Arabidopsis thaliana: one gene and its partners. The protein of the gene in region 4 interacts with the protein of the main gene of each other region in a pairwise test. Each region holds a gene or a part of one and is shown on either strand. Other genes may lie near its edges.

Region 1 (8,887 bases), on a different chromosome or scaffold from region 4:
TCTATGTAAATCAGCATTAATTAGTTGAAGTACTTGAAAAATATCTGATCATTTCATTCTTAATGATATGAGTCATCAATTAATCCTCTCTTCATGATGTGATAATGAATGCTTGAGAAAATTGCAGAAGAAAACAATGAACAAAAACTATTATTACACTTACGTTCTATACGCCCATTAAAGAAGATGATCAAAGCCTAACACTATCTACAAAGAAAAAAAGTTACAACCACAATCAAATCCTTTACGCGGAGAAACTAGAATTCAATAAATGGCGAACAGAGGATGCTACGTGACGGTTAAGTAACTAAAATTTAAATTTGTTTAATTAGTTTTTGATGGTTTAGTAGTTGTCAAATAAACCGACAAGTGAAAAAAGGAAATTAACACGAGTTAACTTTTTTTGTTTAAAGGAAATTTGAATCCCAAACACATGTGAAAAAAGGAAACTTGAAACCTAAACACATGAGAGAGTTTATAAATAGTAGTCGGTCGCTGCTCTTCAATTATCTTCTCGAATCTAATCGATTGATTTCTCATTTGGATTCGTCAAGAGAATCACTGAAGCGTTTGTGTTCCAAGTAGAAAGATATGGCAACTCTTGAAGATTCTTTCCTTGCTGACCTTGACGAGTTATCTGAGAATGAAGCAGAATTGGACGAGAATCATGGTGATGTTGGAAAGGAGGAAGAAGATGTGGATATGGATATGGCGGATTTAGAGACACTTAACTATGATGATCTCGATAGTGTTTCTAAGCTTCAGAAGACTCAGAGATATGATGATATTATGCACAAAGTAGAGGAGGCTCTTGGGAAAGATTCTGATGATCATGAGTATAAGCTTATTGTGGATTGTAATAAGCTTTCGGTTGATATTGAGGATGAAATCGTTATTGTCCACAACTTTATCAAAGAAAAGTACAAGCTTAGGTTTCAAGAGCTTGAGTCGTTGGTTCATCACCCTATTGACTATGCATGTGTTGTCAAGAAGATTGGCAATGAGACGGATTTGACTCTTGTTGATTTTGCTGGCCTTGATCTTACTCCAGCTATTATCATGGCTATTTCAGTTACTGCTTCAACTACGAAAGGGAGTGCACTGCCAGAGGATGTTTAGCAAAAGGTGTTAGAGGCTTGTGATCGGGATTTAGATCTTGATTCCGCAAGAAAGAAGGTCCTTGAGTTTGTTGAAAGTAAGATGGGTTCTATTGCTCCTAATCTTTCCGCCATTGTTGGGAGTGCTGTTGCAGCCAAACTCATGGGGACAGCTGGAGGTTTGTCAGCACTTGCTAAAATGCCTGCCTGTAATGTTCAAGTTCTTGGCCACAAGAGGAAGAACCTTGTTGGGTTTTCTTCTGCAACGTCTCAGTCCCGTGTGGGTTATCTGGAGCAGACAGAGATTTTCCAAAGCACGCCTCCTGGACTTGAGGCTCGCGCTGGCAGGCTCGTGGCTGCAAAATCAACTTTGGCAGCTAGAGTTGATGCTACTAGAGAGGATCCGTTAGGGATAAGTGGAAAAGCTTTCAGGGAGGAGATCCGTAAGAAGATTGACAAGTGGCAAGAACCTCCTCCTGCAAGGCAGCCTAAGCCACTTCCTATTCCTCATTCTGAGCCGAAGAAAAGAAGGGGTGGTCGCCGTCTAAGAAAACTGAAAGCAAGGTATCAAGTAACAGATATGAGGAAGCTGGCCAACAGGACGGCCTTTGGTACACCTGAAGAGAGCTCCCTCGGTGATGGACTAGGAGAAGGTTATGGAATGCTTGGACAGGCAGGAAGCAAGAGGCTGCGAGTATCCAGTGTTCAGAGCAAGCTTAAAATTAATGCCAAGGTCGCCAAAAAGCTTAAAGAAAGGCAGTATGCGGGTGGTGCAACTACCTCTGGTTTGACATCAAGCTTGGCTTTCACTTCTATGCAGGGAATAGAGTTGTGCAATCCTCAGCAAGCTTTAGGATTAGGAAGTGGGGCTCAAAGCACTTCTCAGAGTCAGGAACCTTCTCGAAGCTGAAGAAGATCTAAAATATGCAAGACAGAGATACAAGCTTACAAGTGTTGAAAAGCCGAGCAATAAAAGTGTAAAAATGATACAAAGGTGGAAAGAAACTGCTTTCTCTATCTCATGTCTGTTTTAAGGTTTCTTCGGTCACTAAAGAGACAAAAGACATTGTTTGTTTGATCAGTCTTTGAATCACTTTTTGAAACGAAAATAAAAATATAGATGTACTCTCATCGTTTTAGTATCATCGATCATCATCATAAACAAACCAGAGAAACAAGAAACAGAGAGAAATAGTCTCATCGTTATACTCTCAACACATATAAAAACGTAAATTTGTTTTATCTATAATCTTTGATCAATTCTCCAAAATTTCTTCTTCTTAGCGCTGCTATCTGATCCAGGTAGTTTCTATTTCTCGCTCTTTTCTCTTGTAGTTTCTCCCATTTAGTATCTTTCTTTGCTTCAAGTTTTATTTGTGTAGCACGTCGGGTGTATGGACCAGACTAGGACAAATGAATAGTAAACCAAGAAGATGCAACAGGGTAATGGAGAACCGAGTCTTGTTGGTCTATTCGTTGTCCAAGTCCATGGTTCTTAGATGGAAACTAGAAGAAGATACTAAAAGTTGCACATGATTTAGCTCTTTCTTTCCTCATCAGTAAAAAACATAAGCATGAAACATTGCCGTTGTAGTTCATCTCTGTTCAATATTGATGTAAGAAATTATGTGGTAAAGGAAGAGAAAAGCATTTGGAACAAACATATACATACACTGACTAATGCAGACACGGAGGAAGGTTTGAGATGGAAAATGAAGTTAAGAAATATAAGAGAATTAGTGGAGAAAGAACCAACGCAAAGTCATTTGGATTACAAAAGTTGAAAAAAACATAGCAAACTGAGTTACGAAACACAAATCTTCTAGGACACCTTTTTAAGGCGAAATTGACAAATACAGAAGAGAAAAAAATGTCCGACTGAAAAGAGTTAAAAGTCTTTTTTTTTTCCTTCGTGGCGGGTGAGGGATTAATTTCAAGGTGGGTGGTTTATGTCCTCTTCATAATGTATCCCAAAATTAGACCGATGAGTCCGACCAAAAGAACGTACATGAATGGGATACCACCACTTTGGCTCTTTTTGCTTTCACGCCTTAACTGATCCTGCCACATCAAACCAAAATCTTTGTCAGATAAACAATCTCAAGATTCTAAACTAAGCTTGTGGAATATTCATACAAGACTGGTTTTGATTAATGGTATGGTGAGATAAGTCAACCATGGAAACAGAAGCCAATGCAAAAGATAAGTTAAAGCATCTCTTCACAAAAACAAATGATGACTTTAAGCATACCTTCTCAAAACCATGGAAAAACACTACAAACGCTACAGATTGCTAATCATCAAAGTAACAAGAGCATGGAGGAGATTCAGAGATAATAAAGGATCCAAGTGAGAGTTGTTTTACCAGTTCTCTTTGAAGTCTGTTGTTCAGTTGAATGGCAGACTGTTTTTCTTCGGTTAGCTTGGTAATGAGTGCCCTCGCCTGAAATCATACAAAATTCAGCGGTAATAGAAATAATGTAGAATGACTGAAGCAAAATAGTGTATAGTAAGTGGTAACTGTGTCAAAATAACATCTACGAGGATTTGGTGCACAAAAAGACAATTAATGGACGGCTTGAGCACTGGACAGGCTTCTAAAAATGTAGTGAACCTTTTAAGTAATCAACATAAAGAAAGATTCTCAACCTAGTAAATCAGCCTAAAAGGCAACTTTCCAGTAAAGCTACCTCCAAAAATCAGTTTTAAACAGAGCAAAAGCAAAAGATGATGTCACATGGTTTTGACGGTGACAAACTTGGAAGAATTGTGAAAAATACCTCAGATGTGTTTTCTTGATGTCCAGCCTTGTTGTCCACGATAAATCTCTCAAACTAAAATTAAACATGAAAATCTACATATAAATATGTCTACCAGAGAAACTGAAATCTAAACTTAAGTTAACATGTACTAACCGAAAATTCAGAACCATGTCCATTATCTGAGACAGAAGCCCTGGGTGAAGAACCCTCTTCAGATCCTTCGTGAACCGGTGATGGTGGTCGTGGTGGAGCAACATAAGTAACTCTCAGTTTAGTTTCCTCAACTCGATGTCCAGCCTCTTTGCTAAACTGCAAAATTTCATTACAAGAAACAAGAAAAATACTGCTTTTAAGTAAAACCAACACCAAACTGTAACCATCCATATGAAAACTGTAACCATCCATATAATAATATACCATCTCAGGAGTAACTTCCTTGGCTGTGACACCAGGACTAGCTATCACACCTTGAAGCAGAAACTTGTCCTTGCACTGCATATCGGAAGGAGCTTCCTTTTGAGCTTGCATGGTCACTATATCAAACCAGACATTAAGAATTCATCAAATTCCCTAATCCAATAACCAATTTAGCAAATCGAAATTAACAAAAAAAAACACAAATCGAGAACAGACCAAGAACTTCGCAAGTAGACCTCGGGAGAACAACTCCAGTATTAGGCCTAACACAATACTTTTTCGGATTCGTCGTCTTAACCTAAATCATCACGAGAAGCCTCAGAAACACGAAACAATTTTTCTCGATTCCAAAATTGATAAGGCTAAATAAGAGAATTATAACCTTAAAGGCAACATTATTGTCGGTCTTGTTCGTCAAATAGAGAGAGCAAGAGATCTGCTTCTTCAATTCAACTACATCAAATCAGAGAAGAAGCTTAACACATAGATCTGGGGCAATAAGACATGCGAAATATTGAAAGAGTTATGAATAAAGCTTACAAGGGAATTGAAGATCGAGAGGCTCGACGGTGAGAAGCTCGCTGTTACTCATCCCGATCAGATCGCGGTTACTCATCCCAATCAGATCGATGTTACTCATCCCGATCAGATCGCCGGAGATTCAAATCGATTTTCCGAGAGAAAAAAAAAACGGTTTCCCGGCGATTAGATTCGTCCCGTGACACCGTCTCCGGTTCAGAGAGAGAGCAGTCGTCGATCGAGAGAGATTAGACAGAGCTAATGAATAGAGTGGGACATCGCTATTTGTCTTGTTCATTTCTCAAGGGTAATACTGTCAATTCATTTAAAATTGATAAAAACGCAAACGCGCCCTAATCGCAAACGCGTGGAGATGAATTACAACAACAACAATTCAACTAAAGTAAAGAATATACATTATAATCTGATCATATTTCACAACGTAACGTATAACTTTCTTTTTTTTACTGTTACCAAGTACTCACCAAATGCAAAAACCTATTACTTATAAGGCTATAACACAGTACATATATTTTTCTTCTTCTTTCTGACATGACTTAGTAAAAATACAAAACCATATAAACTAGTCTTATTCGACATTATGCTCTACTTTCTTAAGAGAAACATTTTCATCATTTTTCGTAAATTCTTAAATGTCTTTCTTTGACAGGAATCTGTGTCAACCTTTGCATATTCTCAACCTTAACGTCAACCTATCAGCCTTTAATATTGAAATGAATAACATCACATACCTAACTAAAAGAGCGAATATGATCATAAAGAATATGTGTTTTTTTTTAATCCTTATCACCAACCCACGAATAATAAAAGCTATACAGTGAAGAAAGAGTTACAAATCTTTGACATGACTTTAAAAACTAAACGAAGAAACATTTATCTGTCTTTACTTAGAAGCAACAGATTGTGGTTGCTGACCTGTTGTTGTTCTAGATGCAAAACCAGCAAACCAAGCAACTCTCATGAGTTGCATTCCCAAGATCAATACCCACCAAGAGACAAGCCCACGAAGCATATGAACCACCCAAACCGGTGCGTTGACCTCTGCACTAAGTGTCAACCCTCTCATCAGTTGCAAGATTCGGTAAGCCTCGTAGACAACTGGTGTGACTAGCCAGACCGGTGATTGCCAGTGCCATGTGAGGATCTCTGTTAATGTCTGAACAGCAAGGAGAATGAAGTACGGGAAGAGGATAACAGCGGACGAGAGGAAAGGAATCTGGGGCTGGAGAGAAGCGAGAAGGCCAGATTGGGATCCGAAGAGAAGTAACATTGGGACTAGAAACCCGATTATGAGTGAAAACATGTTCCAGAACTTATAGCTAAATGGTGGTTTGCTGTTGCAGGACTGTGATGGGTCTTTAGGACGTGCGCAAGAATCAGCCATTAAGAGGAAAAGGGTTGCTCCAAGATTGAAAATGCAATCTAGACCGATCAAAGAAAGTAGACTAACCACGTTGGAACCGAGAAAAACCGATGACAACGGAAGCCATAAAGTAGGCGCCATACCGCTTGTGAGGAGAACAGATGGACCCAAAAGCCATATTGGCCATTTAAGTACCTGAACTTGAGAATTAGTTCGTTGTTGCGCTGACATATCTACTTTCTCTTCCTCTGCACTCTCGGAGACAATAGATTCGAACACATTCGCGGTTTTGTCCAATACTATATCAGCAGCTTCTTCTGCAGAAGCATGAATGAAAGGTGACGGTTCCCACTGAGACAGCTTTGGTGTGCATAAGACACGGAGATTTCTGAAACGGAAATTACAAGATCCAGTCTTTAGTTTCTGCAACATATTCGGATTCTTGAGACGGACTCTTGGAGTCATAGTGCATAGAGACTTTGTAAGAGATACCATTCCTTGGCTCACCATTGAAGTCTCTAAAAAAAGCTTCAAACTCTGTTCTTAACATAAACAAACAAAACAGAACATTTCAAAATCATCAGGACCAAGACGATACATGGACACAGGGGAAACACTTGAAGCTACTAAACCGGATAATCGATATCAAATCAATACAAGTCAGAATCAAAACCGGTAAGTGAAGCAATTAAGCATAAGGAGGGATAAACCAAATTGAAGTCGATTATCAAAATATATACCGATCAATTTTACCATGAATTCTCGGGAAGGTAATCACGATAACATATAAGGAAATCGAATTAAAGAGTAAGAAGCCGATATGAAATCGGAAAAATAAAATAAAAACACTCACCGGCGAATCGCAGAACGGTAAGATCCCTAATCCGTTGGCTGTTTCTTCTCTTAACGTCTCCGGAGAGAAAAATCTTTAGAATAAACTTGAATGTGACGTGTTTGGATACTAAGATAATCATGTCCGGAACAAAAATACAAAGAGCTACTATGATTATACGACGACGTGTTGATAACTTGAATAGTCGGCCCATCCTTTTTAAAAAGCCCACTATAGATCGGTAGCTTATGTTTATATTTTGTTATAATTTTTGATAAGGAGGATTTACGTGTCTTCAAAAAGCTAAGACGATGGCCATGGTGGCACTGTTCACCGTTGACGTTGTTTTTGTCACTGCCAAATGAAACGTCTTAGCCCGCGTAGTTCTTTTGGCAGTTGGAGTGGTCTAATCTCGTACTTTCCGACGTCTCTTTGTCCCTGCAGGGAGTTTATGCATTATTTTGGTCGTATGGATTAAAGGTACGTATGGAATGGTAGTAACAATGATAACGAGATTTTGATAATAATGATGGTGTGAACAGAAATGTAAAAGTGAGTCATTCTCATTGGCTTCGGACAAGCAAATCTAGTGAAATGTTACTTTACCAAGTCACGACACTATCCAAAAACCAGACTTATTGAAACCATTTGTTTGGCTACCAACTTTTGTATTGCACTAATTCATAATCGAGATTTACAATCAGAATGGATCATGTAAAAAGTTACTTATGAGTTTTTGTTTTCTTTTAATTTGGAATCTCTTACTATGATTTAATTCATGATTTTGTATTATTTTATTTTTCATTTATGCATACATTTTTTTTTTATTACAAAAAGGGTATTTTGAAACGATTTTGCGCTTGGTACACTAAGAATTTAGGGTTTGGGAAAGGAGACTTTGAGAGTTGAGACGTGACTTCAAGAAAACAGGACAGAGACGGAATTTTGAGAAGCATGCATCTTTTCCTCCGTTTTAGTCCTTTTGAACTTGAGACTCGAAAGAAAACTGCAAGACAAAAACTTGAATTTTACTATTAAAACAAGTTCTAATTAGTCTAGTTTGGGGTATGGGAACAATAAGACAGGTAAAAGTATATATTAGAGAGCTGTCCGATTTAGTTGACTGTTCATTAAACTTTTTTTTTTTTTTTGATTGATGATGACTTTTTTTTTTATCGTATCCATAATGTACCACATATTTTGTTTATCAGAAAAAATTAATACCGTTTGGTATCTCTATCTTTTTACCTATATTAGTATATTACAGACCTTTTTCTTGCCACTTCTGTTATTTTGTTGTCGTTTTTTTTTCATTTTGAAAACTTTTATCATTTCATGTCACTGATCGTATCTACTAGAATTTTAACTGGTCCAAGTATTAAAGCATGTACACGTTATCCATTAATCAATTGATTCAGTTATTTGAGTCACAATGTAAGTCGTAATTCAAAGCGGTTAATGTTCTTGAAAGTTACTTTATGAATCAGTTGACCATTTAAGCTTTAGCGTATTACGTGGGAGTCACTGTTTTTTTTTTTTTTCTTTTTCAAATTAATATATATATATATATATATATACATTTGTTCTCGATAACTAATGTAAATTTCTAACAAACGAGTTGGTTTTCCAAATAGAATCTTGTATTGAAACTTTTTCTATGTTGACTTGTTGAGAGATAACGGTGGTTGTCTTTAGTGAGTCATTATTAGAGGTTTCTTTTTTCATTAAATCAAACAAACTGAAGTTAGGAAAATCAAACAAAAAAAGGAGAAGTCGAAAACATTTAACTAGAAAAATAAAATTAAATGAAGAAGACTTGAAGCTGAAACTGGTGCATTGAGTCAGAGAGACACTTTAATCACGCCCCAACCAAACA
Region 2 (7,397 bases), on a different chromosome or scaffold from region 4:
TCTGCTTCCTTCTCTCTCTCTCTCTCTCTATTATCTGATTATCTTTCTTTTCTTTTTTCATTCATACTTCCATTAATATATATTTTAATCTTAAGCTGCTTATGTACTCCTAAAAAAAATACAGATAAAATTCAAACACAAAAAATTATATCCTGCTGATGATGATGTTAAAACTCGATTCTAGAAGAAAAATGTTCATAGTTGAGATTCTTTGAGTTTGTTTAGTAAGATCTGATTTTTATAAACAAGTTTAGAACCTCATTAATACTACTATTAATAACACCAAATGATTGGTAAAATAACTTACCTCTATTTATATATAAAAGAAAAAACACTAAACGGCGCAGGCAAAAGAAAAAAAAAGGCTAAAGGGACCCACAAGAAGGGAACAAAGGCATATATGGTCTCAGTTCTCACCCTCCAATAATAAAAATAAAAGGCGTGTTACAATTTATTATTATGAAAATGGTTTTTTTGCAGTAGTTGGTAAAGTGACCAAAATTGTTTGGCCATTTTATCAAAACTAAACTACACAAAAGAATTATACAAGTTAGTTTAACCAAAGCTTCCTTCTTTAGTCAAATAACTCTATATATATAACTCGGTTTGTTTTTTCAATTTCAACATACACTTTCCTTTAAAGAAAAAACAAATGGCTAAAACAAAATACAGAATCATTTATTTTCTTGGTACGTCATCTGTTTTACACGTGTCGATATCTTAAAGCATAATCATTTCATTTTGTTTGCAATTGCTTACATAAATTTATTTTTTTAAAATGGGATTGCTTGAAAGTTGAAACACACCAATCAACGGTTGTTCTCTCACCCATGAATCATGATCCTTTTTCTTCCACCTCGATCTTCCAGATTCAACACATAGACATAGGATTTAACTCATTTTGTTTTAGATCTTTTAGAATTTAAAGGATTACTTTACAAGTTATATTATAAGAGACTTTCTTTTTATTTCACAAAGATAAATGTTTTAAATTTTCTATCCAAAATTAATATTTCATTTCATAATTTTCCATGTTAGTTAAATGCTTTAAAATATTATCTTAGTTATATCAGAATTTGATTAAAAATCTTTAAATGGTGTAGGAATCAAATGAAGTTAGTCAATTTACCAATTGAGCTATACTGTTGATTGTCCCATATATTAACGGGCCCAACTTGAAAAATATAAGGCCCATTTAAAGTATCGTCAAACACTCATTTCAGTATCTCTAGTCTTGGTCCATTCGTATAATTTTTCAGTAAATTATCTAACCCTCTCGATCCTCTCTCGCCTGTTGAAAAAGCACGACGCAAGAGCTAAGGATCAAAAAGGAAGACGAAGAAAGAGATGGATCCAGACGCTGTTGCAAAGGCTTTCGTTGAGCACTACTACTCCACCTTCGATGCAAATCGTCCAGGGTTGGTTTCTCTATACCAAGAAGGATCCATGTTGACCTTCGAAGGCCAGAAGATCCAGGGCTCTCAGAACATCGTCGCTAAGCTCACCGGCCTCCCTTTCCAGCAGTGTAAGCACAACATCACCACCGTCGATTGTCAGCCTTCTGGTCCCGCCGGTGGTATGCTCGTCTTTGTCTCCGGCAATCTTCAGCTCGCTGGTGAACAACACGCTCTCAAGTTCAGCCAGGTTTTTTTTTGCCTTATCTCTTTCCCTTGGGTTTAGATCACTTCGATTTTTAGTGTTTCCTTTGTATTCCTCGCTGTTGATCATGTACGATAGGGTTTTTATCCTTACTGCTCTGTAGATTGATGTGTGTATTAGGTCACTAAAAGCTTCAATGATCTGGAATTGTCTCGAAATTTTAGACCCTCCCTGATGCATTTAGTGATAGATCTGTGATAAGGTTGGAGATAAAAGAGGTTTCCCCCAAATGATTGCGTAGATCAGTAGATGTAATCTTGTGTCATTTAGATTTTGTCTTGTGGAGCTTCTATCTCCTTGCACTTCGTGAATGTAGTATTGGGAAACTGCTTTGCCATGATTCTGCTAGTTTTTTTCAACTATGCTCATATGTGATCTTGTTGTAGTTGTAGATATGCCACCTTCTTGATTAAATTGTCTCAACTCTAAATAGTTTGAGATGCTTGCAGTGTTTGTATCATCTGCCGTAAGACATTGTTTTCTCTTTTTAGTGTTGAACGCTCTTTACTAGATTTGTTCGATAAGAGATGTTTTTGTCATTTTAGTTCTTCATATCAAGGTACTAATTGTGTTTTGTTATCATATTTGTATGAACATCAAACTTGTGGAATGTATGTATAGAGCAAAGTGGGATGAATTTCTGTCAACTTGACCTACTTGTAATGAGCTACGTATGCATCTCTTGTGTTGTGAATCACGCACTGGATCACTATATGATTGTAACATAAATCTGATGACTGCTTGTTGTTTGGATTTTGCCTGATTCCTGACATACTTGTGTTTTGTGTCCAGATGTTCCATTTGATATCGAATCAGGGAAACTACTACGTGTTCAATGACATATTCAGGTTGAACTATGCCTGAGGAATTTGATGCCAGAGGTACATGGAACCATTATTGGAAGCTGAAAAGAGAGTGGTGGAAAGTTTGGGACTATTCAAAAACTGTTTGAGTTGGTTTTAGATTTGGAACATTAAGCTTTGTTTCAGGTGGTTTGCTGTCTGTTTTTATTTTAATCAATGGAGCTATTTGTTACTTTGTTTGAGATGACTCCTTTTGTTTTCGGGCACTGAACCATGATTCAGTAAGGGTAAAACAAAAGATTTTTTGAAATACGGTTCTCTTTTGGAACCCTTTTTCATGTGGAAAAGTTTGAGAAAGCAACTATTCTTTCGCATTTTGATCATATAAAAGTAAACTACTTATACTAAAAGCAAAGAAACAATGAGGGTGACCCCTGTTCCTAAATAACAACTGGTATTATTGAGTCACAAAGGGAAGCTATCATTCTTCATCGTCGAAACCGAATTCTCGCAACAGCTCGGGCACTTGAAGTTGAGGTCCAGTGTGTGATCCATTCCCATGGTTGTTTTGGTCATTGGAGTTGGAAGTCCCCGCAAGTTGGTTCTTGATTGGACGTAACTTACCTTTGAACATTCCATTAAGCATACCTCCGATGGATCTGACTGGGTGGCTTATTCTATCTTTCAACATGAAAATCATGGAGTACTCAGAGAGCTGCCAAACCAATGTCAGGATGATCGTAGCCGAGAGAAGTACATGGGTTATTTTGTTCTGCTTCTTCACCTTCTTGATGTCTTTAGCTATTTCTTCTATACTTTCTTCCAATTGTCTCTGGCCCTCGCTTTTTCCTTTGGATGGTGAAGAATCTGCAGATTCTTCTTCTTTTTCTTCTTCTTCTCCGGTTATGACATCTTCTTTCCCCTTGGGGTTTGGTGATTCCAACTAAGTTATTGGCAAAAAAATTAGCACAAGCCTGAAATGGACACATCCCAATACAAATAATGTTGTGGACATGAAACAGCAACTAAACACAATCATGAAGATAAGCTTGTATTTGTTGGATCTCATCAAAATCGAAGCAGACACATCACAGCGAAACAATTACACAGACTCACTCAAATACTCATGATTCAATCATATACCCAGAAAGTTGATTGGCTGCAACATCAGATAAATCAACAAAGGAGAAAACAGAGCGATGGTAAAGTACCTGAGAGATAAGGCTAGAGAGGAAAAGCTGATCATCAGCGTCTTCAATGAAGGCGTCACCAGAAGCTTCTCTCTTCCTCTTCTCATGAAGAAGCTTCTCAATAGCTCTACTCAGATTCTCCACATCCTCACTGGACTCCATTTCACAAACCCTTCTTCTCTAATCTCACCGCCGCTCCAAAGATGCGTTTGTTGTTTATTGTGTTTTTTTAGGTAGAGAGTATTTTTGTTTGTATTGAGAAGGCAAGTCAGGACACGTGACATCTATTGACGGCACGGCACCTCTACCATTTTTGAGCAATTTGACATTGAGATGTGCAAATAGCGTATAGTCCTCCACTAAATAAATATACTTAAACAATAATAAAACATGTAATAACACACACAACTCTGCACGACTAAACCTCGATTCACACTAGATTCCGTGTGAACTTGAAGAGACAATTATTTAAAACCATAAAAGAGATCAAGAATGAGCAAATATTGTAAGAAGATTTAAAGGAAGAGATATCAACACAGAGTGTTTCGAAAATGCAAGGAAATCGAAAGAAGTGCAACAGAAATCCTAAAATCTTTTTGTATGCTTTAAGAAATGATCATGTTACATAAAAACGACATACATGAAAGCACAAATAACAAGGCTTCTCTATTTCTAACAGTAGTTAAATAGAAAAATTCTTTTTTCGAAATGTAAAGAAATATAAAACTCCCTGATATCCACATGATTTTCCCAAACCCCCCCAACAAAATACAGATAAAGAACATAGAAAAACTCTATCGGATATATGTGTTTATATAATCAATCCTTCTTCTTCTTTTTTTTGTTCTGCTTCGCTCTGCTCTGCTTCCGGATGATGTATAGATTCTTCACCTCTGTTGTTTAATCATTTCACAGAAGCTTCCATTCTGCGAATAGACATGTCAAACACAAACATTATTGCAAGAACATGAAACTAATACAAACATAGGTTTAATTTCAGACAACAAAAGTAATGTGAACATGAATAATATGATCCACGAGGAAACAAAAGAACAATATCGTTTCAGTCAAAGACAGAACAAACATCGGTGTGCTTTTCAATAAAACCCTAATTCGAACCTCCATTTCTATCAAAATAAGGACAGAACCAAAACCCAGTGGAATCATTTCTAGATGATCAATAAGGAAACTTTGGTTAAAATCTAAACAGATCCGAGACGAAAGTAGAAAGCTTGAATCATTGAAACCAATTTGACAAACTTAACCCTAAAATTCAACAAAATTACCAGAAATCTCCTTTCCGGAAGGAGAAGGTGGCGTCAAGACGTAACAGAGAATCGACCTCCCGACCATAGAAATGGCAGAAACGATGCCAGCGACATAGAAAACCAAAATCAGAGCAAGAACCCAAGGCATCAAGAGAAACCCGATGAAGAAAGTCACAGATCCACATAGCATAAGAGCCACAGATATACCAAGCAGCAACGACGCGAATCCAGACGGAGAAATATGAGCCAAAGAAGGCGAAGAAGACGAAAAACGATGCGAAGAAAAGGGAGGACGAATTCTAGCGGGCGGATCGGGGAAATGATCAGGTAAAGAAATCGGCATAGGAGGAGAACGGAGAAGATTCAAAACAAGAGATGATAGATCGTAGAAAACCCTAGATTGTTGTTCATCTCGTTGCCTTCTCATCATCACCACACAAACCAAAAGAAAACACCAATCTAATCCAAAAGAAAAATTGCTTGAGGAAGAAGATAACTAAAGGGTTTGCTAAAACCGAGGCGAGAAGATAAAAGAAAGAGCCGCAAATTTGATTGGGTTAGAGGGAAGAAGGTTTAATGGCGATTGCCAACAAAACACGATAATCTCTCTGTACACACAACAAAAACGATCGAAATTTCTGCAATAAAAGACTTTTTTTTTTTTATTAATGAAAAAAATCTAAAATGAAGAATCGTCGTGTTTTGGATAACGAGAAAAAGTAAAGGGAAGGAGCGTGGGGACACGCGATGGGGTTGGCGAGTGAAGAAGGGAAAGAGACAAAGATGGGACCCAGTTATGACGCGTAGTTGGGTCTTATCTTCTACCACATTCTTATCTAACCTCTCTCTCTATTAAATTTGTTCCAATCATACCAGAGAAGTCGTTTTCTTGTTTGCTTTTTGTTTAATTTTTTTGGTTATTTAATTTTGACTTTCGTGTATAATGTTCGTGAATCAAATAAAGACTGATAGCTTTTTGCGAGAATGACCGCACTTTAAGCTGTCTATCGCTGAGGTTCAAAAATCAGGCTACTTGCTGTTGGAAAATGAAAGGATTTGTGAAATGATTAGTAGACTCAAGATATTATCATTAAGGTCCATGATGAATTATTCAAACAAATTAGATGAAGTTACCATTCGATTAAAACCCATTTAAGTTTCACAAGTCATATAACTAAAATTGTTTTGCTCAGGGCCCAGTATGAAAAATCAAACCAAAACTAAGAAACAAGTGAAAGTGCAAAGCAAAATAGCCCACAAAGAAGAAACATAAACCACGAAGCAGCTTCGGTTGCCCTTTAATGAGTTCAGTTATCTATGGAAATACAGATACTGATGACAAGCAATTGCAACATCAATTCAGAGAAAGAGAGAGGATTACAAATGTGAAGCAGAAGCCCTCCTATTATTCTAGTAACAGAGCTTATCCAGTGACCTCTTTTACTTATTCAGTTCCATCTAAAGAGCTAAGCTTCGATCCAAAAAGAACACACATGTTCAAACATGTGACGCATTCAAAGAAACAGTGGCAGCAAGAACCTTGAAGTATCGCAAATGAAGGGAAAGTAAGCACATGATCAAACTATAGTATTGAAGGCTGAATAATTCATTAGATGATATAATTACAATATATATAGGGACTACATTAGAATGAATTAGGGATTAATGATTTACTAAACTATCCTTTACTTATATACTCTACATGCCCCCTCAAGATGGAGGGAGTTTGCTCACTCCAATCTTGCTTGAAAACTGAAGAAAGTGTTGACGAGGCAATGGCTTGGTTAGAGCATCGGCAAGTTGGTCATGTGTTGATATGTGAGAGACTCGTAGTGCACCGGCACTCACATTGTCGCGAATAAAATGATAGTCCAATGCTAGATGCTTCATTCTTGAATGGAAAACCGGATTTGCAGAGAGATATGTGGCACCAACATTGTCACAATATATCACAGGCATCTTTGGTAATGTGATGCCTAACTCAGTAAGAAGAGAGCATACCCATCTAATTTCTGAAGTTGTGTTTGCAACAGCCCTGTACTCGGCCTCGGTGGAAGAACGTGCGACTCCCTTTTGTTTCTTCGAGCTCCAAGCTATGGGTGTAGAGCCAAGATACACAATATATGCATTGGTGGAAACAAAATCGTCATTGTCCCCAGCCCAATCAGCATCGGAGAATGCATGAAGCGAGAGAGGAGAGTTTGAGCGAAGTAATATACCATGAGTAGCAGTTCCCGCAAGATATCGAAGGACGCGTTTTGCAGCCTGCCAATGAATGTCTGTGGGACGATGCATAAATTGTGATAATCGATTCACAGCATACGCAATATCCGGTCGTGTAAACGCCAAGTATTGCAAGCTGCCGATCACTGTCCTGTATTCTCCGGGTTCGTCTAGAGCAATGCCAGAGTAGAGTGAAAGTTTAGGATGTGTCGCCATTGGTGTGGACACCGGTTTGGCATCTAACATCTTCATCC
Region 3 (7,916 bases), 7.5 Mb from region 4:
TTCCAACGCATGATGTTATTGTCAGATATGGGCTTCCACTTGAGTTCGAGGTAATCAAATTGTAAATTGGGACTTATCTTATACTCTTTTCATTAAGCCTGTCGTTCTTCCAACTTAAGCCACCTTGGCTTTCATGTTTCAGAGGAATGTAGTTGCTTATGCTGAAGGCCAACCCAGAAAACTTGAAAAAGCTCTTGTTCTAAAAGATGCGATATCAGATCTTCCTCATGTATGTTTCATTTCCACTAGATCCATCTGCAATTCAGGGTTAATATATATTTATAATTTCTTTTCACATATCTAGGTATCAAACGATGAAGACCGGGAGAAATTGCCTTATGAAAGTCTCCCAAAAACAGATTTTCAGAGGTACATTAGATCAACCAAACGTGGTAAGTTGGATCTGGATTCTGTAGTTACGGTCTCTTTCACAACAATTGTCTGATAAGCCATGACCACTTGCATATTACATATGGTAGCTCACGCGTTAGTGTTTTGCTATGTCAGATTTGACAGGCTCTGCAATTGATAACTGTAACAAAAGAACAATGCTACTGCATGATCACAGGCCGTTCCATATAAATGAAGACGACTATGCCCGAGTTTGCCAAATCCCCAAGAGGAAGGTACTCATTTCGTTTTACTAATTAACAATCCCGATCCTCTAGCCGAAAGATTCTCATGTCGAGAGAAGTGTTTGCAGGGAGCTAATTTCAGGGATCTTCCGGGGTTAATCGTCAGAAACAATACAGTATGTCGTGATCCATCAATGGAACCGGTTATTCTGCCATCAGGAAAGCCTTTGGTAAAGAATCCTCTTATATGAACTGAGCCATACCAAAATTACATGAGTTATCGATGAAACTACACATTAGTGCTGAAATTCTCAAGCTAATGTCATTCTGCTTGTTAAGTCTGCTGTCAACAGTTCTCATAATCCCAAAAATTAATATATGTGTACTGAATCAGCTCACTTGTGGCCCTCCTTAGGTACCAGGATACGTCTTTACTTTTCAGCAAGGGAAATCTAAAAGGTATACTCTTACACTCCTCCGCCTGAAACTATTTGTTGAAGCTTTCATGTTTTTAAGTCTCTCTGGATTTATAAAATTCGCAGACCGTTTGCTCGTCTTTGGTGGGATGAAACTGTTCCAACCGTTCTAACAGTCCCAACATGCCACAGTCAGGTACCCTCAAAGCCATTCCAGGTTTTAACATAATACCATATTTTAAATTCTTAAAAGTTTCTATAAGAAGTTTGCTATTTGCAGGCGTTATTGCATCCTGAGCAAGATCGAGTGCTAACCATAAGAGAATCTGCACGGCTTCAAGGTTTCCCTGATTACTTCCAGTTCTGTGGAACCATTAAAGAAAGGTACTTGCTTTTGTTCATTTGGAAAAAATTATAAGAACCAGGACAATAGTTTCAGACTACTAAGCAAATGCGAATATCATTTCACTTCTTCTCACTATCTACAGGTATTGTCAGATTGGAAATGCAGTGGCAGTCTCGGTTTCTCGTGCTTTAGGTTATTCGCTTGGTATGGCTTTTCGTGGTCTAGCCCGCGACGAGCATCTTATAAAACTTCCCCAAAACTTTTCGCATTCAACTTACCCTCAGCTTCAAGAAACCATTCCTCATTGAAGCAGAGGACATTAAACAAGTTTGTTATTAGTTCCTCTCCATGAGGCTTCGTCAAAATGATCAATTTTGTTCTTTAGTTTTTCCTTGTGTTAGTGAATTGTGACATCATAGCGGCTGGCCAGCTCAGTCTACTATGCTCGATCGAAATTTCGGTTTGATTAGGATTTTTCGATTAGTAAATTCTTCAAAAATTAATCTTATTTTAGCCAACTAATATGTAATTTATTCTTTGTTGGGTAATTAGATGAATAATAATTGGTCTTCTTTCTCACATTTTAGTGGATGAAAAGTTTCCTCATTGTTTTCTTCTTTATTCATCACAAATGAAAAGTTTCCTGATGTTGCATGAGAAAAATATGAGGTGAATGATTTGGGATGTGTGCCATTCGTTAGAGATTGGTATGTGGTGGATGATGTTTAGTTTTGATCTATCAGGTCAAACCAACACGTGCCGTGCCCGGCTTTTAAGTTCTATGGACAAAAGTATTGCCCCACTAGGCAAATGATTGTGACTCCGGATCTTGTGCTTTCCTTTGACAAATTCCAAATTCTACATATTCAACAATTTTGCTTAAAACTTTAAAGTTTGATCTTTCTAGAATTGAATTTTATTATTTAAAAAATATACGATACAGTTACACATTAATAACAAGATAGAGAATCTTGGCGTTAACAATAAAAGAGATAAACGTAGCAATTAATACAAAGGCCATATACGTAAGGTGTGGTGAAAGTTGTTACATTCATTTGAAAATACTCCATCAACTCCACCCATGTTTTCTTTTCTCTTATCAAGTGCTACCGATTCTCACGGTCTTTAGAAATGAACCACTTTTAGTGATTTCTCGCAATGGTTTATCGGTATATCTAACTGTGTTATAAACCCATGCACCCGCAATCGCACCAAGAGTTGGCGCAACTAAGTATATCCAAATTCCTTTGTAGCAACCATAGACCAGTGCAGGTCCTAAACTTCTTCCTGGATTCATCGACGCACTCGATACCGGTCTAATAAAATTGATGAACATAACCGTATAAATCATTTTTTGGAATTCTTACTCTAAAAAAAAAAAGTATAAGCACAATAATAGAAATGGTAACTGATAACTTACGCGGCAATTAGCACGTTAAGTAGCACCGTTGATCCTATTGCTAATCCAGCAAGTTCTCCGATCTGAATATTGCAGCATTTGGTCCCAATGTTAAGTTTCTCGTAAATTTAAAGACCACAGAAAACAAATGTAACTTCTGAGAGGGAGCAGTAATTAATAACACTAATATAAGCCATCGAATTTGACAACATAAGAAGATATGAAAATACTAACCGCTCTATTATCGGTAGCAACGCCAGAAATGATGAACATTAGATAGAAAGTGACGATAAACTCCATCGTAAACGCCTGAAGATCTGATCCCACTGGTGATGATCCGATAAACACATCGTGTTTTCCGCTACAAACGTCGTGATCAAGTCCGAACAACAACCGTAATGTCGCAGCCGCGAGCGTTGATCCTATCACTTGTGATATGACATAAGCTGGAACCTAAAAAAATTCAAAGAACAAAAATAAAATAAATTAATTCACCAGTTCACACTAACTAGGGAAGGGACCCAATCTTGGAAGATATTTTGACGTTTATATAACAAAATATGGACGTGTGGAAAAACTATATACATACAAAAGTTACATAACATTTTAATTTATTTTGGAAACTAGCAAAAGTAGATTTGTCCTTACGTATCTTCACTCATCTATAGTAAACGTTGCATTAAAAACGCTACGTATTTGAATAACCCAAAGTCTCGTGTGCAATACAAGCAACCGATAGCTAAACTAGATCAATGGAAACAAAATACACTAATGTTCTTTAATTAGTTTGTTCATGAAACTCAAAAACACACATAAAATACAAAACTTGATCGATCATTATATAAAGGCTATATGTAATTGTGTATGTGTTAAGGACCTGTTTGAGAGGGAAACGGCCACAAGAGGCGAAGGCAATGGTAACGGCCGGATTGATATGAGCACCAGAGATGTGACCAAGAGAGTAAATGAGGACCATAATGGTGAGTCCCCAAACGATAGCGATCCCTGGAAGAGTCACGACATTGTCGTTTTGCATGTTTACAACCACCGATGCACAACCGGTGAATACCAAAAAGTAGGTTCCAAGAAACTCCGCGATCAACTGAAAACATAGCGTAAATAAAACCGAGATGTCTTGTGAATTGGTACAAAACAGAGTCTTTTCATTTATAACTTGTAAAACATGTTGGATATGGAGAGTTAAAAGTAAAAACCTTTTGTAAGAAAGGGACAGAGACTGAGAGTAGAGAGTCTTGTTTCTTCAAGGGTCTTGGGTTATGAATGTCTTCCATTTCTTGTTGATGTTCGACTTCATCCTTGAGATTCACCATTACTACTTCTTCTCTGGCGTTGCCATAGCCGTTTCCCGAGATATCCGCCATAAGTGACTTTTCTCTTTTTAGAAACAAAGAAGAGGAAAAGGATTGAACTATAAACGACTGTTTATGACTTGTGAGAATGAGAAGTTTGGTAGCGATTATCTCCTATTTATTGGCAAACATGGGGGAGAGAGAGACTTCTTTGACGATTTTAATATTACCAGTTTATTAATTGAAAAAAAGAAGAAGATGATATATTGTTAATAAAGCTTTTTTAATAATAATAAATTCCTATGTTTGTGGAGATTCTATACCAGGTCTCAAATTCAATTTTCAGGGATTACAATTTTTTCTTAGATCAACAAATATAAAATTTATCGAAAATTTTAGAATGCTACATGCAGAATTTGTTTGTTTTGATCTTGTGTGTTGTGCAGAGAGCCTATATCATTCGTGCATGTCGTACATGCATAACCATCCGCGCCTAGGATTCAAATGTTGCATACTTGCAATCTACTTTTTGTTTTTAAATTTTTATTCTACTTTCCAAATATTCATTTATAATCACATAAGTATATATACGTCATTTTATGCGTTGTTTGTATTTCACATAAGTATTCATTTAGAACATCTCATATCGAATTCTGAATTTCGGATATAAAGTCACCGGTCATATGTTGTTACACCCAAATTTGTTCGTATCATATAAACAAAACAAAATTATGTCATGCAAACTATAGAATAAACTATATCATTTATGAGAAATTGAAAAATGTCACTAGATGGAATTGATGATGGCCTCTTTAAGTCTTCAACTACCAAGCGGGTAATACGGACATACTTTATTTAGCTTATAGTTGTGCATGTGTACATATGTACACAACATTATAAAAATTACTAAAAAATTTCAAGATATTTTATATATACCTTGATGCCAACGTAACAATCTTGATTGCGATCCGTAAACTTAATGTAGTGTACTGTTTGGATCCGATCATATCAACCTCAGGTTTGAATCCATACTAACATATAACTAAATGTTAATTATGATCAGAATGTTTTATTTGCGACAATACTCAAAATGTCATCTCTAGATTAGGTTAAGTTCGAACCCTCTTTAATGGATGTTAGAATGTAGGGTTGTGGCCACGGGCCACCAGAGAAAAAATGAAGTTTCTTTATAATGTACAATTTGAATTATCAGTAAATTAGCAATGTTAATTCCACATGTAAACACGTATGCTGGTTAATGGTGACAAGACAAATCTTAAAGACTTTCATGTTACGTATCGATCCAGATGTGCATGATGTATGGTGCCAAAAAAATAGGAGGAGTGAATATGAATTGAAATTGAGAACATACATATATGCAAAGGGAAGGTAAATAAAGAATATTTCAGAAAGAAAAAGAAACATTGATGTAAATGTAGGAGTATCAAAGTCGATCAAAATTAGTAGATCATTGACTTAACTCAACCAATGAATTGACTATCATTTTATATTATTTTAATAAGTTGATGAAATAAATGAGTTGAATGGACTGATGAATTATGGGGGCTACTTAATGTTTCCACCACGACACTCGGATTCAATTCATTAACTTTTTTACATCATCATAACTTTATTATAATCGATGATATCAAACCCATCATGATATAATCATACACCATCATATTCATCATCATCAACATCATTTCATCAGCATGACTTCCGAAGCTATTATACGTGTGCTAGATCTATATCTTTGTACGATGTGAGAGTGTTACGAGTAGTATGTGTGCATAAAGTAAATGAGACATAAATTTGTTAACGGGTCTGTTCACAACTTACATGTCAAAAATTTCTACCAAAACTATGTAACTTTTTTTATTATGACGCTCCACAATTTCTCGCTACAATGTTATTCCGTAATTTTATATTTTTAATTGCAATATATCTGGTTTACGTATCAAAGATAATGCAAAGGAAAATTTTATATAGATATTATCTTCATCTAAAATGGTTTATCAGTATATGTATTAATGTTAAAACACATTATCAATTTCACCAGGTTTTAAATAGAAATTCCAAAAAAATATATATCTAAATTTGTTTTTTGAATTTTATCTAAAAATCTTATGTGATTTCTTAAAATGCAGATATTGTAATTCAAAACCATTAATTGAATTAAAATATATTTTAATTTTTTGTAATTTTTGGAAATCATTGAATGAGATAAGATTTTGGTTCTATGTCCAAATTAGTGCAAAATCAGGAACTTGTAAGTTGTAACTAAAAGAAGCCAGGAAGGCAATTTTTTTTTCTAACTTCAGAATGCATACTTGTAATATTTTATTAAGTTTGGTTTAAATTTGAAGGTGCCACGGATCACGGGAAATCGTTTTTATTACTAATATGTTTGAGTCAAATTTCAGTCACATGTATAGTAACTGTATAATTCAAGATATGCTAAATATCTTTTAAAACTTTTGTACAACTGTATTTTAAAATCATGAATTGGATTGACATGTAATTTTCTTTTATTTTATTCGGAAATTATTGGTCGAATAATATGAAATTTGTAGTTATATATAATTTTCAAAATTAGTTCGAATCATCAATAAAAACCTCCATTATTTTTTTGCTGAAAAGATAATTTTATTTTAATTAATCAGGCCAAGCTTTGTAAGCCGAAAGACATTGTCGGGTCCAAAAAATGAAACAGTACACGTACATTAATCGAGGTTATGGTTACGTAGAAAGAAAAATATATAATCTAGTTTTTCGTTAACATTAAGGCTCAAAATAGAGCATTTCGTCTACACAACCACACTTAAATTCAGTTTTTTTACCAATTAGCTAAACAAATTATATTTGAATATAGTTTATATATAATTTTCCCGGCACTTCGGAAATGCATTGTAGTAAAACCATCGTATATTTTGACATATTAATATATTATGTTCGCATGAGAAAGGAAGGTTTTTAACTTCATCATACATACTTGTAATATTTTATTAAGTTTGATTTAAAAGGTGCCATGGATCACGGGAAATCATTTTTATTACTATTAAGTTTGATTCAAATTTCAGTCACATGTTTGGTAATCATTCTAAGATATGCTTAATATCTGTACAACCATCTTTTTGAGTTTTGACCATGGAACCAAAATTCGATAAGATTTCACGTCGAGAACAATAGTATAAAATTGATGTTACATTTATTTCACAACTTGAAATAAATAATGCTACACCGAATAAGATATATTTTGTTTAATAAATAGAAAAAATGAAACCTCTTTCCTGTAGAGGTGAAAATAATATTATTGTATATGAGTGTTTTTTCTTTGCTTAAACTTTTTCTTGTTTTGTTTTTTACATGTTAAATTTACTGACCAACAAAAAAACTTTATGTACAAAGTTTTGAAAGAAAATCGAAGACATGTAATCCTATTTGGGATCCACTTATCAATCACACGGATGAGGAGGGTAACCGACCTGTAAATATGATTATGGTGCCTCTCATTTCGTTCCCTTAAAATGTCATAGATGGTTATCTCGAAGGTCATACGAATTAAGAGATAAAAGATGCAAGTGTATGTCAAAACCGTTAAACTTACTAAATTATAATAATACTCTAGAACATTTTACATGCCACTCTTATTATATATTTTTGGATAAGCCAATGAAGGAGTTTTGGATGCTTTAAGTTCCGCACACTCTTAGATTTTCTTCGTTTATATTGTAACTATTCATACAAAATGAAAGGTGAGCTCTCTAATCAACGTTATATTTTCAGTTTCGATATGTTTCTTTGACTTTCTTTTTTTTTTTTTTTTTTTTTTTTTTTTTTTGAATACCAGGAGGTTCTGGGCCGAAGCCC
Region 4 (7,588 bases):
GGTCACCAGAGCTTCCTTGCTGTTAAAGTTAACCCCACCGCTCGACAAACTCATCCATAAATAACAATACAACCTAACAGCTGCTAGAAGGAGGCTGCATGCGGTCCAAAATCTTCTTTTCCTTTCATCTGCTTGTGAAACCCGGTTAGCACAGAACTGTAAGCAATGGTTAAGATGTAAATGATGCTGGTTGGAGAAGTACATGTTTTGCATCAGGAATTTCGAATTCCAAGCTGCATTACAGAATCTGGCCCAACCAGGAATACACGTCTTGTTGTCTGGATTCGAAACACCACTACTCCTTTATATGCTGTTCGAGGCACACCATCCTACACAATCAAAGGGGTACAAAAAAAGTGACCCATTTGGACCTACAATTATTGAAGATTATAGTTCAATCATCTCAAATTTACCTTCCATTCTTCAAATATACCAAATTCCCCTGCAATGCGTTCAAACTCTACTTGGTCTTTATACCGGATACGAACATCATCCTTTATGTTTTGAGCCTTTAAGACAAGGTCAGAACCTTGAATTGGTCGTGCTTGTCTCACTAAGCCAGAAAAGTACTTGGTATAGTTTCCCTTTGATAGACATGAGAGAACAGGTTAAAAACTACATTTCTCCACTCAAAACATGCAAAATGGTATAAAAAAAAAAGGCCGGAGTTCTGTAAATGTTACCTCTGTCAGGTATCCCAGGTCCTTTGCTTTCCAGTCAACCTTTATGAATGAAATAGGAAACCAGTGAAAACTAGTGATGCAACAAAAGGGGGTAAAAAACACACTTACGCTTACCGTCACATCGTTTAGCTTTATAGGTTCCAGATACTGACTGAAAAACTGTCCCAAACTAGACCCCTGCCAAATTAATATAACAAGGTTATGGATAAGTATGAAATGCAAAAATATATTATGTGGTATTGACTGTCTACATCCATGTGTCGGGAAACTATAGGACGAAGCTGCAATAATACATTTTTCATACAGAAAGCAGAAGTCATATGCAGCGAACATAGGTCAATTTAACAGCATTACAAAAACAGACTTGTAAAACTATGATATATAGGATAGCATAATCGGGTACTAACATGTTCACCAAAATTGTATGTTCTACAGACTTCCGGTCGAATGAATTGGCGGCCTTTATGGTTTTCCTTTAGTCTCAGCCAATCATCCCAGTAAGTGGATATTTGTTAAGAAAAGTCTTAGAAACGTCAAACTATTTTTTTTTTTAGAATTTAAGAAGCGTCAAACTATAGTCATCGAGATTGAAAGAAAAAAAAGCATATAAGGATATGCCTTTGGCCACTTTGGTGATAACTCATCCCAAGTCGATCTCTTGAGCATCCACCCAAGGCCAGGAAAAAAATCTGATCGGTATAGCGCATCTGCAGATTATTTTAGCTCGCATGAGCTAGACATAATGAGGTATTGAAAGAACAGGCAAGAGAGGAAGCAAGGTAAAGAAGAAGAAGAAGAAGAATCTTACAGGGATCATGCACAAACTGCTTCTGTCCATTATCATTCCATGATGAAGCAGCCATAATGGTTCTAACACATGTTTGGACCAGAAAAGAATGAGAAACAGTAATAAAAACATTTGTATACTCTGTGGAAACTTATACTATAAGAGTCTAGCTTCAGTAGGTAACATACTTATCCCTATCCATGAGACTAGCTGCAGCCTCAAAGTAATCAAAGAAGTCTGGAGCAATTTCCATATCATCTGTTAAAGAGACAAGATAACCTCTCTTAAGCAATACTCCACAAGGTAAAGACAGCCCCTCTTAAACAATACAACAGCAAGGTACGATGAGTGTGAAAGGTTAAAAAGCGCCACCTTCTAGTATAATCACTCGACTAAATTTGTGTTTGTAAAACAACTGGTCCAGTGCCCACTTGTAGTGACCTGTATTAAAAAGTGTTTCAGTAATGGAGCTGGAGGGACGCAGAGAAAAGAGAAACCAGTCCTTACGTGCAATCTTGTAGTACGCAGTCAGTTCGCCAGGCCTTTCAGTGACCACTGGTTCAAAATCCAAGTGCTGAAAAGGGGAAAACGAGCCTTCATCCTCATTTATCTACTTGAACAGTGAGGAGAAAAATCACGCTAGATTAAATTACCTGCATATATGTTAATTGATTATAGCTCAATGACTTGCTCTTGACAGCTTGATCAGATCCATCCTGTCAGAAAATATGTCGTTGGAAAAGACCATGGTTAGTAATTCGTTGAATATAAAACAGTCTAAGAGACCACCACCCTGCAAATTAAGTACCTGAGATATAAATAGAGGATATTTTGAAGCAACGGGAGTTTGATATCTGTATAAAAAAAGAAATAGCCATTAGATAGTTCAATCAAAATGTGGTATAAGAATTAAATCAGTATAGTATCTCACGTTAAAACTGATTTAACAGTCCTTTCAAGATAGTCTGCACGACTGCAGGCCATAACCACTACAGCAGCCACAGGCATCTGCTAAATAAAAAACAAGAAACAGGTTAGATGTATATATATAGCAAGTGATAGCAGTTACAAATACGAAGAAAGGCATCTTCTTATCCAGACCTGTCCACCTTGAGTGAGTTTTGCTATTCCTTTTTCTGGAGGAAGAAAATAAGCATTAGTAGAAAAACTAATAAAAAGAAAGCAAGAAAATGAGTTTTACAGGTGATAGTAAGGCACTTTCAAACGTCTGGATTAGATCCTTAAGCTGCACAAGTTCTTCGTCCTGGCGGTTCTTCATATCTACAAGACACTCAGAAATCAATGTATAAGTCTTCTACTCCATTTAGAAAGTTAATTTTGTATAGTATTCAATAGGTTCCAAGAACCATGGTCATCTAGGATTCCACAAGTCCCAATGAGGAAAGAAGAAGGGGATATACCTTCGAGGGCAACAATCCGCGACTGTTTGATGCTAACTTCATCTATGAGGCCTCGCATTTGACTAGTGCAATGGTTCTCAGATTCGATCTGGAGAAACAAATGAAAGGCTGTGTATAGATCTTCATCACACACCAGGAAAAAATCGAAATACCAAAGGCAATGATATGGTGTAATAGTGCAGATAGTGTCTTCTTCTTGAAAGTAGTTCATGGGCTTGTAAAGAGCCAAAAAATGGGATTTCAAAAGGAACTAGTAGCAATGGTCTAAAGACAAAAGGCAGTGGTAAAAGTAGAAACTCACAGCGGAACTGAGGCGATCTGCATACTGTGATTGCGTCTGGAAAAGCCTCATCTAGAGAAGAGAAGAGAGGATAATTACAGACAGATTTAGGTTGCAGCGATGGAATCAATTTCAGTTTCAACTTCAAAAAGCGAGATCATCGGATATAGATTGACCTGGATGTAGATGAACATGAAAGCTGCCGGGATGAGAAGAAATCTCAAGTCACACGAGATCCTCGCCATATCGACGACAAACAACCAGATCAAAACCGGTGGATCTTCTGGTGTTTGCCGCCGGGAGGGAGCTAGCTAATAAGGAAGTTGTTTGAAACGGCGTCGTGCGTTATAACAAAAACGGTACCGTTTCCCAGTAAAAATGATAAGATGACCATTTCATTTCATCCATAAATAGAGCCGAGCTTCTTCCTCTGTAAATCTCTGACAACAAACCAAAAAAGAGAGTCCACCAACTCTACACGCAATTCATCCAATTATCTTGCTGTCGCCATTCGCCAATATCCATCCCCATCTTCTTCGATTTCTGAGATTCGGTCGAAAATCATCAGATGGGTTTTCAGAACGAAGCTAGCTCCTCCTCTTATACCCTTAAAATACCTCCACCGGCCAGAGAGGACTCGCCTCTTCTCGGCAAGGGACCTCCCCTCTCCAGCCAGTTTAAGACCTTCGCCAACGTCTTCATCGCTGTCGTCGGCGCTGGTGTTCTTGGTCTTCCTTACGCCTTCAAGCGAACCGGATGGCTCATGGGTGTCCTCCTCCTCGTCTCCGTCTCTGTTTTGACCCATCACTGTATGATGCTTCTTGTCTATACCCGCCGCAAGCTCGACTCTTTCAATGCTGGCATCTCCAAGATCGGCTCTTTTGGTGACCTTGGATTCGCCGTCTGCGGCTCCTTGGGGAGGATCGTCGTTGACTTATTTATCATTCTGTCTCAAGCTGGTTTTTGTGTCGGATATCTTATCTTCATCGGCACTACTTTAGCTAATCTATCCGATCCTGAATCGCCCACCAGTCTGAGGCATCAGTTTACAAGGCTGGGTTCTGAATTCCTGGGCGTGTCTTCTAAGAGTCTCTACATATGGGGATGCTTTCCCTTTCAGCTCGGTTTGAATTCGATCAAGACGCTCACTCACTTGGCTCCTCTCAGCATCTTCGCCGATATTGTTGATCTTGGCGCTATGGCTGTGGTCATTGTTGAGGATTCCATGATTATACTCAAGCAAAGGCCTGACGTGGTTGCCTTTGGTGGTATGTCCCTCTTCTTGTATGGTATGGGCGTCGCTGTCTATTCCTTCGAAGGCGTTGGAATGGTCTTGCCTCTTGAATCGGAGATGAAGGACAAGGACAAGTTTGGCAAAGTCTTGGCTCTCGGCATGGGATTCATCTCTCTCATATACATCGCATTTGGTATCTTAGGTTACTTGGCTTTTGGTGAGGACACCATGGACATTATCACTGCTAACTTGGGGGCAGGACTTGTCAGCACTGTTGTCCAGCTTGGACTGTGCATCAACCTCTTCTTCACCTTCCCCTTGATGATGAATCCAGTGTTTGAGATAGTGGAGAGGCGTTTCTCACGCGGGATGTACTCTGCGTGGCTCAGATGGGTACTCGTCTTAGCAGTGACTCTGGTGGCTCTTTTTGTGCCAAACTTTGCAGATTTTTTGTCATTGGTTGGCAGCAGCACTTGCTGTGTGTTAGGCTTTGTGTTACCTGCATTGTTTCATTTATTGGTGTTCAAGGAAGAGATGGGGTGGCTGCAATGGAGTTCAGACACAGCGATTGTGGTACTAGGTGTGGTTCTTGCTGTGTCGGGAACTTGGAGTTCCCTGAGTGAGATCTTCTCTGTCAAAGTGTGAGCGTCCGTGAAGTCAGAGATTGGAGAGGTTTTTCTCTCCTTGTGTGCAATTATGTATATGGAATTGGTTGTGGTTTTAAGAGTAACTGTGATTGTATTTGTATTTTGATGGTTTGGAATAAAAGAGATCAGCTCTGTCTTCTGTTTTGTGTTTACATGTACAACATATGTGAGAGTTTTGATTTCTCAATGTTACAAGCAAGGGAAGCTCGCGAAATAAGCCTGGCTAGCTAATCAAATGCTTTGGTTTTGTATTATTACAAACTGTTGAGTGTGTTCCTTCCATGAATCGCCTTCTTCAAGATGCCTCTCGTAGAAGCAAATCTCACCATCACCACCACCATCTCCATGGGACTTGACGATGATCGCAGAGATGCTTCTGGTCCCATAACGCCCCTGTATCTCCATGAGTGAGACTGAATATTTATGGAAAGTGTTAAACAAACAATCAATGTACTCTAAAAAAGGAAGGTTACAGTTGGTCTCTGCATGTCGACGAAGATGGAGCTGAGATGGTATTCCGTCTCTGGTGTGAAAACGTGAGGTAGCTCGGTTTCTTCGTCCTTGACAGTATTGGTCATCACCTCCTCCACCATGGTCTTCACCGGGAATTCACCGCTCCCGTTCTCAGCCAGAAGCTGTTGGAAACCCTCCCTCAGCCTCAGACACTGCAGAGACAAAAACACGCAATTGGGGGAGTCTGCAAAAGGTAAATAAAGGGAGAAATGGCCCACATTTACTTACCTTGGGCCAAGGGGAGTCGAGGTTGGCGTTGGAAAGGACATGGATCCCGGGAGAGACTTGCGTCACGAGCTTGTCACCGTGGGGTGGTCGGTTGGTAATGTAAATCATGGATTTGGACAAGACATGAGCGACAACCAGGTTAAAGCCATTGTAGAGTGAAATTTCGTCTTGGATCTCCTCGGCAAACTCGGCCGGACTCTTTTCGCTCTGTTCTCACCAAAACGTTAAAAGTACTCTCAGTCTCTAACATGAGAGACAATCTAAAGCATATTAGGTGGTGGTGTAGACCTGCAAGTAACGAAGAGGCAGATCTCCACGGGATTTAGCAGCAGGGAAGGAGGAGGCTTCCTTGAAATTGGTGAGGAAAGCCAGACGGCCATGCCTCGTGCAGCCCAGCCACGTCCCGCCGCCAACAAGGTCTCTTCCTCCCACCGTCTCTCCGTCTTCCCACCAACGCAGCGCCTCTGTCGCCCTTGACAATTTACACAAAAGATTAGTACAATCTCATCAAAGGAAACGATTACAGAGGGGATTGAATCACCTGTTGTGATCTTCATCTCTGTTGAGAAATAGAAGAAAAGGGTACAGCGGATGCGATTGCCACAGAAATACTGCTATGCACATTCTCTTCTCCTCCGACGAACCAACGAACCAACCATCTCTCTGCTCTAATCAAAGTCGTCGTCTCTTTTTTTTTTTTTTTTCTCCGTCTTCTACTTAAAGAAACTGCGTGTAGTTTTTCTTACCACGAAACGGCAGCACGTGCAGGTTTTAACAAACCTCTCGATTGATTGATTTGCTTTAAAGAAAGCTCGCCGGCGATGTGGTAATATCAGTCAGATCCAGATGACGACGTTCTCTACATGCGCCGCCTTTTTATCGCTGGTACCTAGCTTGATTGTTCTCTCTCCGTTCGATATGATTATCTATATTTACTTAGCTCGTCCTGGAATTCGCACTACTCTCTTAAAATGGATCATCTGATCAAATTGTGCCTTAATTTTTTGACATGTCGACGATTTGCAGGTAGTAGTGCTACATGCTGTTCATGTCGGTGGAGCCATTTTAGAGTCACAAGCACCGTAATGATACATCTCCTTGAAGCTTGTCTTTTGGCTACACTGTTTCTATTTTATTTTTATACTCTTTTCTTCTTTTTGCCATGATGTTTCCTTATGCAGCCACAGAGAACTTAAAGCTTATCGTCCGCTGCAAGATAATAATCTACAGGTCCCATTCTCCTCTTGTTCTCCAGATAACTTATTTGGTTCAAATATCAGACTTTGCTGTGATTAAGTTTTTGTTATCCACTTTTGCCTTTAGGAGGTGTATGCTTCCTCAGCTGCTGCAGTGCACTACGATCCAGATCTGAAAGTAAGGCTGCAGTCCTCTTTCTCTGAGTAGTGAATACAATTTGTATGCTTCCTACTTCTAATAAAGCTGTTATCTCAGGATGTGAACATAGTTGCGACATACAGTGACCATTACGGCAATATACGCCTTGGTAGGGTGAAAATGGGGGATCTTTCACCTTCTTGGGTTTTGGAGAATCCTGCCTATCAAGTTAGCCGCAAAACAAAAGGTTCGCAGGTACCAAACATTTCATGTTCTGGTTTTTAGTTTTAATGAGATTTGATCATCAGTTTAAGAATAGAACTGTATATCCTATGGGCATATGGAGTTCTATAGTAGAAAACTTAAAGTGTGTGAAGTGATTACTTACCACTCTTCTCACCGAGCAAAAAATACCTCTCATGAACTTCATTTGTTCTAACCTTGTGTTTCTTGAATTTAT

The links.
Region 1: the proteins of AT4G38250 (region 4) and VAP27-1 interact in a two-hybrid assay, tested with the Arabidopsis thaliana proteins (one large-scale study listed by BioGRID).
Region 2: the proteins of AT4G38250 (region 4) and AT1G27300 interact in a two-hybrid assay, tested with the Arabidopsis thaliana proteins (one large-scale study listed by BioGRID).
Region 3: the proteins of AT4G38250 (region 4) and NLM1 interact in a two-hybrid assay, tested with the Arabidopsis thaliana proteins (one large-scale study listed by BioGRID).

The regions. Positions count from the first base shown.
Region 1 is NC_003074.8:22,396,566-22,405,452, reverse strand, and holds VAP27-1 (vesicle associated protein), read right to left. Parts: upstream 5,344-8,887; 5' UTR 4,917-5,343; coding exon 4,817-4,916; intron 4,730-4,816; coding exon 4,659-4,729; intron 4,575-4,658; coding exon 4,493-4,574; intron 4,393-4,492; coding exon 4,277-4,392; intron 4,169-4,276; coding exon 4,013-4,168; intron 3,952-4,012; coding exon of another isoform or gene 3,932-3,951; coding exon 3,878-3,931; coding exon of another isoform or gene 3,784-3,877; exon of another isoform or gene 3,541-3,783; coding exon 3,463-3,540; intron 3,159-3,462; coding exon 3,045-3,158; 3' UTR 2,729-3,044; downstream 1-2,728. Other genes in the region: AT3G60590 (cytochrome P450 family protein), read right to left, coding at 5,700-6,721, 7,033-7,225. UniProt on the Arabidopsis thaliana protein: Part of a membrane-cytoskeletal adapter complex that forms a bridge between the endoplasmic reticulum and the plasma membrane. Associates with microtubules.
Region 2 is NC_003070.9:9,479,741-9,487,137, reverse strand, and holds AT1G27300 (uncharacterized protein), read right to left. Parts: upstream 3,982-7,397; 5' UTR 3,815-3,981; coding exon 3,674-3,814; exon of another isoform or gene 3,406-3,673; coding exon 2,944-3,405; 3' UTR 2,770-2,943; downstream 1-2,769. Other genes in the region: NTF2A (nuclear transport factor 2A), read left to right, coding at 1,348-1,644, 2,452-2,523; AT1G27290 (uncharacterized protein), read right to left, coding at 4,562-4,578, 4,939-5,350.
Region 3 is NC_003075.7:10,419,292-10,427,207, forward strand, and holds NLM1 (NOD26-like major intrinsic protein 1), read right to left. Parts: upstream 4,218-7,916; 5' UTR 4,119-4,217; coding exon 3,951-4,118; intron 3,839-3,950; coding exon 3,614-3,838; intron 3,190-3,613; coding exon 2,971-3,189; coding exon of another isoform or gene 2,920-2,970; exon of another isoform or gene 2,820-2,919; coding exon 2,758-2,819; coding exon of another isoform or gene 2,754-2,757; exon of another isoform or gene 2,654-2,753; coding exon 2,437-2,653; 3' UTR 2,230-2,436; downstream 1-2,229. Other genes in the region: CMT2 (chromomethylase 2), read left to right, coding at 1-50, 143-229, 305-392, 508-626, 704-805, 991-1,034, 1,118-1,187, 1,272-1,375 and 1 more. UniProt on the Arabidopsis thaliana protein: Water channel probably required to promote glycerol permeability and water transport across cell membranes.
Region 4 is NC_003075.7:17,931,794-17,939,381, forward strand, and holds AT4G38250 (Transmembrane amino acid transporter family protein), read left to right. Parts: upstream 1-3,608; 5' UTR 3,609-3,739; coding exon 3,740-5,050; 3' UTR 5,051-5,275; downstream 5,276-7,588. Other genes in the region: CGL1 (alpha-1,3-mannosyl-glycoprotein beta-1,2-N-acetylglucosaminyltransferase), read right to left, coding at 213-329, 414-584, 684-722, 798-860, 1,091-1,184, 1,300-1,390, 1,492-1,553, 1,659-1,728 and 10 more; AT4G38260 (transport/golgi organization-like protein (DUF833)), read right to left, coding at 5,284-5,445, 5,526-5,717, 5,794-6,000, 6,082-6,265, 6,335-6,417; GAUT3 (galacturonosyltransferase 3), read left to right, coding at 6,640-6,678, 6,820-6,875, 6,975-7,023, 7,117-7,167, 7,246-7,383. UniProt on the Arabidopsis thaliana protein: Translocates preferentially neutral amino acids from the vacuole to the cytoplasm.